Saccharomyces cerevisiae S288C: one gene and its partner. The protein of the gene in region 1 interacts with the protein of each later gene in a biochemical or structural test. Each region holds a gene or a part of one and is shown in the gene's direction. Other genes may lie near its edges.

Evidence for each region.
Region 2: the proteins of RAD30 (region 1) and REV1 form a complex in vitro, tested with the Saccharomyces cerevisiae proteins (3 studies listed by BioGRID).

The regions. Positions count from the first base shown.
Region 1 is NC_001136.10:1,301,315-1,305,602, forward strand, and holds RAD30 (DNA-directed DNA polymerase eta), read left to right. Parts: upstream 1-1,859; coding exon 1,860-3,758; downstream 3,759-4,288. Other genes in the region: 60S ribosomal protein uL11 RPL12B, read left to right, coding at 302-799. UniProt on the Saccharomyces cerevisiae protein: DNA polymerase specifically involved in DNA repair. Plays an important role in translesion synthesis, where the normal high fidelity DNA polymerases cannot proceed and DNA synthesis stalls. Plays an important role in the repair of UV-induced pyrimidine dimers.
Region 2 is NC_001147.6:980,285-985,338, forward strand, and holds REV1 (deoxycytidyl transferase), read left to right. Parts: upstream 1-1,543; coding exon 1,544-4,501; downstream 4,502-5,054. Other genes in the region: pyruvate kinase PYK2, read right to left, coding at 4,658-5,054. UniProt on the Saccharomyces cerevisiae protein: Deoxycytidyl transferase involved in DNA repair. Transfers a dCMP residue from dCTP to the 3'-end of a DNA primer in a template-dependent reaction.

The DNA.
Region 1 (4,288 bases):
GCTTTGTGTTCGAGCAGCCTGGCAGTCCCCTCTAGCCGCTTTTTTCCCTTTCCGAAGGTTTCCGCCTAAGCCCCCTGGCTCTAGGCCGAGAAAATGTTAATGCTCCTTCTACGAGAAAATGCTTGTCGCCACACCAGGACAGGTGCTCGACGACGCTTCCGCTAATCTTTCTCAATGTTGTATCTTCTTTGGCGGTACATTACTAGTATGAAAATGGAATAAAAACAGTACCTAAATTATTTACTTACTTCCCGTTAAAGCAACCCCAAGTGCCCAATAGAAGGATAAATCAATAGTCAATATGCCTCCAAAGTTTGATCCAAATGAAGTTAAGTACTTGTACTTGAGAGCTGTCGGTGGTGAAGTCGGTGCTTCCGCCGCCTTGGCTCCAAAGATCGGTCCATTGGGTTTATCCCCAAAGAAGGTTGGTGAAGATATCGCCAAGGCCACCAAGGAATTCAAAGGTATCAAAGTTACTGTCCAATTGAAAATCCAAAACAGACAAGCTGCTGCTTCTGTTGTTCCATCTGCTTCCTCTTTGGTCATTACTGCTTTGAAGGAACCACCAAGAGACAGAAAGAAGGATAAGAACGTCAAGCATAGCGGTAACATCCAATTGGATGAAATTATTGAAATTGCCAGACAAATGAGAGACAAATCCTTCGGTAGAACTTTGGCTTCCGTTACTAAGGAAATTTTGGGTACTGCTCAATCTGTCGGTTGTCGTGTTGATTTCAAGAACCCTCATGACATCATTGAAGGTATTAACGCTGGTGAAATTGAAATTCCAGAAAACTAAGGTTGTTTATAACATCAAAAATCCATTCCATATATTATTCTGTACTTTTAATTTAAAAGGCTTTAATCTAACATATAAACCAAAATATTTTACTTCACGTTATATTCTTTTTTTTTACTGTTGCAGCAAATTGTAGTCCGGCTGTGTTCAATCAACCGTCTACATGTTGAAATAGATATTTCCATCTATGAAATGGGCCAAATTGTTCATCGACGTAAATATCAGGCAGGTTTCTAGTATTTGACCCTTCTCTTTGCAAATTTTTTGTCTTGACATCCAAGCTTCCTGAAACCCATCTTTCACTTGCTTGTATTATTGTAGAATTATTTCAACGATACCACTCATAACTAAAAAGGCTATCCTTCTTTGCATGTAGCCAATGCATTGAAGTGTTGCTATTGTCCCCGTTCAGGCTCTGCAACTGGATAAAATATCTTATTATGGTGACGGATTAAAATTATTCAATTTAAAAATCCTTCTGCAAATACAAAAAGGAACTTTTGAGTTTTACGTATTCTTATGTATTAGAGTAGAGAATATTTTAAAATAATAAACTAAGATAGTGTGTATCAGTTGTTATTTTATATGTGGTTTATGTTCATTTTTTTTACTTCTCTTTCGTTAATTCCATTTTCATTAACTAAATATATATTTGCCTGAAAAACATTATGTGCATGGCCTTCTTTTCTAATTGAAAGGTTTACATACATCAATGGCATGATAGGATGTTGCAACTTTCAATCTAAACATGGTTGCCATATAAAATATTACTCTAAAAATGTACTAAGGATAAAATTAAACGCTACCTAATCCTGCCGATCATAGGATACCTATTGTATGTTCAAGAAGAAGAAAATAGGTTCAAATTAATAGTTCAATTTAAACTTCGAGTCCATTTTACAATATTAGTTTAATTTTGGGCAATTCTTATAATTTCGGATTAACTAAAGTACCTATATAATTATACCTTATCGCGGCGAAAAAAGTATAAACCACTTATTGTAGTCTTCTAGCGCAGGCCTGCTCATTTTTGAACGGCTTTGATAAAACAAGACAAAGCATGTCAAAATTTACTTGGAAGGAGTTGATTCAGCTTGGTTCCCCCAGTAAAGCATACGAGTCCTCCTTAGCATGTATCGCCCACATAGATATGAATGCCTTTTTTGCACAGGTTGAGCAGATGCGATGTGGCTTAAGCAAAGAAGATCCGGTAGTCTGCGTTCAGTGGAATTCCATTATTGCAGTCTCTTATGCAGCAAGAAAGTATGGTATATCAAGGATGGATACGATTCAGGAAGCACTAAAAAAATGTAGTAACCTCATACCGATCCATACAGCCGTTTTTAAAAAGGGAGAAGATTTTTGGCAATATCATGATGGATGTGGATCTTGGGTGCAGGATCCTGCAAAGCAGATAAGTGTGGAAGATCATAAAGTATCACTGGAACCATATAGGAGGGAAAGTCGCAAGGCGCTGAAGATTTTCAAAAGCGCATGTGATCTAGTCGAAAGGGCGAGTATTGATGAAGTATTTCTTGATTTGGGCCGGATTTGTTTCAATATGCTAATGTTTGATAATGAGTACGAGCTTACAGGCGACTTGAAACTGAAAGATGCATTAAGCAATATTCGTGAGGCTTTTATAGGGGGCAACTATGATATAAATTCCCATCTACCTCTTATACCCGAAAAGATAAAGTCTCTGAAGTTTGAAGGCGATGTTTTCAATCCAGAGGGCAGAGATCTGATCACAGATTGGGACGATGTAATACTTGCACTAGGATCTCAGGTATGCAAGGGTATCAGAGATAGCATAAAAGATATTCTCGGTTATACTACTTCGTGTGGTTTGTCTAGCACCAAAAATGTTTGCAAGTTGGCTTCTAATTACAAAAAACCTGATGCCCAAACAATTGTGAAAAATGATTGTTTATTAGATTTTTTAGATTGCGGAAAGTTTGAAATTACATCATTCTGGACCTTAGGCGGCGTTCTTGGCAAAGAACTAATTGACGTATTGGATCTTCCCCACGAAAACAGTATTAAACACATCAGAGAGACGTGGCCTGATAATGCTGGCCAGCTTAAGGAATTTTTAGATGCTAAAGTTAAGCAATCTGATTATGATCGCTCAACCAGCAATATCGACCCTTTGAAAACAGCAGATTTAGCAGAAAAGTTGTTTAAATTAAGTAGAGGCCGGTACGGTCTGCCCTTAAGTTCTCGCCCTGTTGTAAAAAGTATGATGTCAAACAAAAATCTTAGAGGAAAATCGTGCAATTCCATCGTGGACTGTATTTCTTGGCTTGAGGTCTTCTGCGCTGAGCTTACGTCCAGGATTCAGGATCTGGAACAGGAGTATAACAAGATCGTAATACCAAGAACAGTATCTATATCTTTAAAAACAAAATCCTACGAAGTATATCGAAAATCAGGTCCAGTTGCGTACAAGGGCATCAATTTCCAGAGTCACGAACTCCTAAAAGTAGGCATAAAATTTGTCACGGACCTTGATATTAAAGGAAAGAACAAAAGTTATTACCCTTTAACAAAACTAAGTATGACAATTACTAATTTCGATATTATAGATTTACAAAAAACTGTTGTAGATATGTTTGGCAATCAGGTCCATACTTTCAAAAGCTCAGCAGGCAAGGAAGATGAGGAAAAAACTACCAGCTCGAAAGCTGACGAGAAAACTCCGAAGTTGGAATGTTGTAAATACCAGGTGACTTTTACAGACCAGAAGGCTCTTCAAGAGCACGCAGACTATCATTTAGCATTGAAACTGTCGGAAGGCTTAAATGGTGCTGAAGAATCATCCAAAAACCTTTCTTTCGGGGAAAAAAGATTGTTGTTTTCACGGAAAAGACCAAACTCACAACATACTGCCACACCTCAGAAGAAACAAGTTACATCTTCCAAAAACATCTTATCATTTTTTACAAGAAAAAAATGACCTATTCCAAATAGACAATTATATGGCTTCAGCAACTAAAACGTCCTGATAATATTGCTTTTCCAAAATTTCTAAATGATTCACGGGCGCCAGGTTTTGTTGATAAGAAGAACGAAGTACCTTTAATATCTTATGATCGGAAAATACCGACTGATGACTTTTGAGACTTCGCTTTTGATCAAAGTGATAACATTATGTACAATATTCATACTAGGATTTCTTGATAGAGATTTGGAAGTCTATAAAAAAGAAACAACTTGTTATAATTTATTTTTGTAGACATGACTCACAGAATATTACATACCTTCATAATATATAAGATCCATGTGATAATGAATGCTGGAAGCATGATCTCTGACCTCAGCTGATTGTTCAGGGGACTTAATCAATTAGATGCGTTTAAAGCAGGAATTGGTTTGATACACACAATCTCATGTTACAAAGTAACGCTGTTTAAAAACAAATCTGAAGAATAATAATGCAAGTAATATTATACATCATAAAAAAGTTATACACTATCATTACTCTTC
Region 2 (5,054 bases), on another chromosome or scaffold:
ATTGTTGGGATTCCATTGTTGATAAAGGCTATAATATTAGGTATACAGAATATACTAGAAGTTCTCCTCGAGGGTCTAGGAATCCCCATAATGGAATCTATATTTCTATATACCAATATTACGATTATTCCTCATTCCGTTTTATATGTTTCATTATCCTATTACATTATCAATCCTTGCACTTCAGCTTCCTCTAACTTCGATGACAGCTTCTCATAACTTGTGTCATCATCTTAACACCGTATATGATAATATATTGATAGTATAACTATTAGTTGATAGACGATAGTGGATTTTTATTCCAACAGTTCTCTTCAACCATTCGTTTTTGGGACTGAGGAAAATGAATATAAAATTATAATACTTCATCTTGAACTTTGAGAAATCACAAATTGTATGGGCGTGTGGTCTAGTGGAATGATTCTCGCTTTGGGCGATCCCCCTGATCAAACAGGAGGAACAAAGCATGCGAGAGGCCCTGGGTTCAATTCCCAGCTCGCCCCTTTTTTTGCAACTTCGTTTTAGACAGTTACTTAATTTTGTTTCTTAGGCACAACAATATTTATAAAAGAAGAATGTAAGTATGACGACGAAAACGAAAAGACTAATAGTTTCATATAATACTAAACGATTTCAATTTTCGTTTTATATCCTTCCTATTCATAAATTTTATTTCGCTATGCCAATAATGAGTGGATGTATAGTTGATATCTGTTTCGATAATTTTAAAGTAGATAGTAAAATCTTACTGACATGAATAATCCGTCCAAAACTAGATTACTGTATACAAGCATATTTAAAAAAATAATGAAACTATGATCAAAAAACTGTGCTACTACAGCGGTGTTGTTATCCGATACAACCGGATATTTTTCTTTTAATGAGTCTAAACCGTGATAGCTTCAGGTTAATACAATCAAAAAAAGCTCAAATATTCTTTTAATGCCGCGTTCACAGATTCCAATTGAATACAACTAGGTAGTTCATTATATGAAGCCTTTGCTACTATTTTTCACTATAGTCTGCCTTCACCTTAATGCAGACATCCACATATTTTAATCACTTTAAAATAAAAAGGAAGATATATTAGAAGCTATGATCCAATCTGTAAGCCAGATTAAAATTCACGAACTCTTCTTTCATTTGAATTGAATGCTTTGAGTTGGGGTAGATTATCGCAAATTACTCATCACATTTATTGACTACGAACTTGCTGATGTCCTTTTTTTATTTATATTTTTCTTCAGTGAAGCGATTTTTTTTTTACACAGACCAAGACGGAAAAAAGTAGCTAAGGAAGAAAACAAAATCATGAAAAAAATGTGAAGTGATCATGCACATCGCATCAACTTAAACATTGGCTTAGAGATATATAGAGTTAGAGTTTACGGCAACCTTTAAGCACCAATACCTTTTGGCATAGTCTAAAGACCTGGTTCTTAATTTTAAACAAATTTAACTAAAGATTTCCCTATCAAAGAAGTAACGAGTTGACAGATTTTCTCAAAATAAATCGATACTGCATTTCTAGGCATATCCAGCGATGGGTGAACATGGTGGTCTTGTAGATTTATTGGACAGCGATTTGGAATACTCTATAAATAGGGAAACACCTGATAAAAACAATTGCCTTAGCCAGCAAAGTGTCAATGATTCACATTTAACAGCAAAGACCGGCGGCTTGAATGCAAGGTCTTTTCTATCTACGTTAAGCGATGATTCCTTAATTGAATATGTCAACCAACTCTCCCAAACTAATAAGAATAATTCTAATCCAACTGCAGGTACTTTAAGATTTACTACTAAAAATATTAGCTGTGATGAATTACATGCTGATCTTGGCGGTGGCGAAGATTCACCTATAGCTCGTAGCGTCATCGAGATCCAGGAAAGTGATAGCAATGGTGATGATGTTAAAAAAAATACTGTGTATACTAGGGAGGCTTATTTCCACGAGAAGGCGCACGGACAAACCCTGCAAGATCAAATATTAAAAGATCAATATAAAGATCAAATTTCTAGTCAAAGCAGTAAAATATTCAAAAATTGCGTCATCTATATAAATGGCTACACCAAACCTGGAAGACTGCAATTACACGAGATGATAGTTTTACATGGCGGAAAATTTTTACACTATTTGTCTTCAAAGAAAACGGTTACTCACATAGTGGCTTCCAATTTACCATTAAAGAAAAGGATTGAATTTGCAAATTACAAAGTAGTCAGTCCGGATTGGATAGTTGATAGCGTCAAAGAAGCAAGATTATTGCCCTGGCAAAATTACTCGTTAACATCTAAACTTGATGAACAGCAAAAAAAACTAGATAATTGTAAAACCGTAAATTCAATTCCATTGCCCTCAGAGACTAGCCTGCACAAAGGATCTAAATGTGTAGGGTCGGCATTGTTGCCAGTAGAACAGCAGTCACCAGTAAATCTCAATAATTTGGAGGCGAAAAGGATAGTCGCTTGTGATGATCCTGATTTCCTTACTTCCTATTTTGCTCATTCGAGATTACATCATCTCTCCGCATGGAAGGCCAATCTGAAAGATAAATTTCTGAATGAAAACATCCACAAGTACACCAAAATTACGGATAAGGATACCTACATTATCTTTCATATCGATTTTGACTGTTTTTTTGCAACTGTTGCGTATCTATGTAGAAGTTCTAGTTTCTCAGCATGTGATTTTAAACGGGATCCTATAGTGGTATGCCATGGTACTAAAAACTCCGATATAGCTAGTTGCAATTATGTAGCAAGGTCATATGGGATTAAAAATGGAATGTGGGTGTCTCAAGCTGAAAAGATGTTGCCAAATGGGATCAAACTAATATCATTACCATATACCTTTGAGCAATTTCAATTAAAATCGGAAGCCTTTTACAGTACTCTCAAAAGATTGAACATATTCAATTTGATTTTACCTATATCTATTGATGAAGCTGTTTGTGTGAGGATAATCCCTGATAATATTCATAACACTAATACCTTAAATGCAAGACTGTGCGAAGAAATACGCCAAGAAATTTTTCAAGGAACGAATGGTTGCACAGTGAGCATTGGATGTTCCGATTCTCTTGTGTTAGCAAGACTAGCTCTCAAAATGGCGAAACCAAATGGTTACAATATCACGTTTAAGAGTAACCTATCTGAAGAATTCTGGTCTAGTTTCAAACTAGATGATCTGCCTGGAGTTGGGCATTCTACTCTGTCAAGGTTAGAATCAACGTTTGATAGCCCACATTCTTTAAATGACTTGAGAAAAAGATATACTTTAGATGCTTTGAAGGCGAGCGTCGGCTCTAAGTTAGGTATGAAGATTCATCTCGCGTTACAAGGCCAAGATGATGAAGAAAGCTTGAAAATACTGTACGATCCCAAAGAAGTCTTACAAAGAAAATCATTATCAATTGATATCAATTGGGGAATCAGATTTAAAAATATCACTCAGGTAGACTTGTTCATAGAAAGAGGTTGTCAGTATCTTTTAGAAAAATTGAATGAAATAAACAAAACAACGTCACAAATCACATTAAAACTGATGAGAAGATGTAAAGACGCTCCAATTGAACCCCCAAAATATATGGGGATGGGAAGGTGCGACTCATTCAGTCGGAGCAGCAGATTAGGTATTCCAACAAACGAATTTGGAATTATTGCTACCGAAATGAAAAGTTTGTATCGAACTTTGGGCTGCCCTCCAATGGAATTAAGAGGTCTTGCTCTACAATTCAACAAATTGGTTGATGTGGGTCCGGATAACAATCAGCTGAAACTGAGGTTACCGTTTAAAACAATAGTGACGAACAGAGCTTTCGAAGCCTTACCGGAAGATGTAAAAAATGACATTAACAACGAGTTCGAGAAAAGAAATTATAAGAGAAAAGAATCCGGGTTGACTTCAAACTCATTGAGCTCTAAAAAAAAAGGATTTGCCATTTCCAGATTAGAAGTAAATGATTTGCCCAGTACTATGGAAGAACAGTTTATGAATGAACTACCAACCCAAATTCGAGCAGAAGTAAGGCACGACTTGAGAATTCAGAAAAAAATCCAACAGACAAAGTTAGGAAACCTACAAGAAAAGATAAAAAGGAGAGAAGAGAGCCTACAGAACGAGAAAAATCATTTCATGGGCCAAAATAGTATATTCCAGCCGATCAAATTCCAAAATCTGACACGGTTCAAAAAAATTTGTCAATTAGTGAAACAATGGGTTGCCGAAACTTTAGGTGATGGAGGGCCGCATGAAAAAGATGTTAAATTATTCGTGAAATATTTGATTAAACTTTGCGATTCTAATAGAGTCCATTTAGTTCTTCATTTATCAAACCTAATATCAAGGGAATTAAATCTCTGCGCCTTTTTAAATCAGGATCATTCAGGCTTCCAAACGTGGGAAAGAATTTTACTCAATGATATAATTCCACTTTTAAACAGAAATAAACATACTTACCAGACTGTGCGTAAACTTGACATGGACTTTGAAGTTTGAATTAAAAAAAAAAAAACATTTCAGCATACAGTAAACACGCAGTTTGCGAACATTACCTGTAATATCTGCATGATTATTACCAAAGAAAAAAAAAATAACTGACACAATGGACAATTAAATAAAATTAAGTAAAAAAAATAAGGACTTTAATTTTTACTAGAATTCTTGACCAACAGTAGAAATGCGTAAGGTATTGGAATGGCCGACTCCTCCTTTGAATCCTTGAATGGAAACAACAGTATCACCGTTGTCCACCATTCCGAAAGACCTCGCCATTTCAACACCAAACTTTAGGCGCCTATGAACATCCTCACCCCAGTCGTCTAGGCGTTTCGGTTCATACAGAAATGGGAAAACACCTCTATACAAATGCGCAATTCTTGCCGTTCTTGCGTGTCTTGTTACTAATATGATAGGGCAGCTTGGTCTATACTTCGACAGTAGCCTTGCCGTGTTCCCTGTAGTAGATAATACAACGATGGCCTTACCATCTTGCTCCAAGATTGCTGCGGTAGCTGCAGCTGCTACAGTTTCCGTAGTGGAAGTAGGTTTG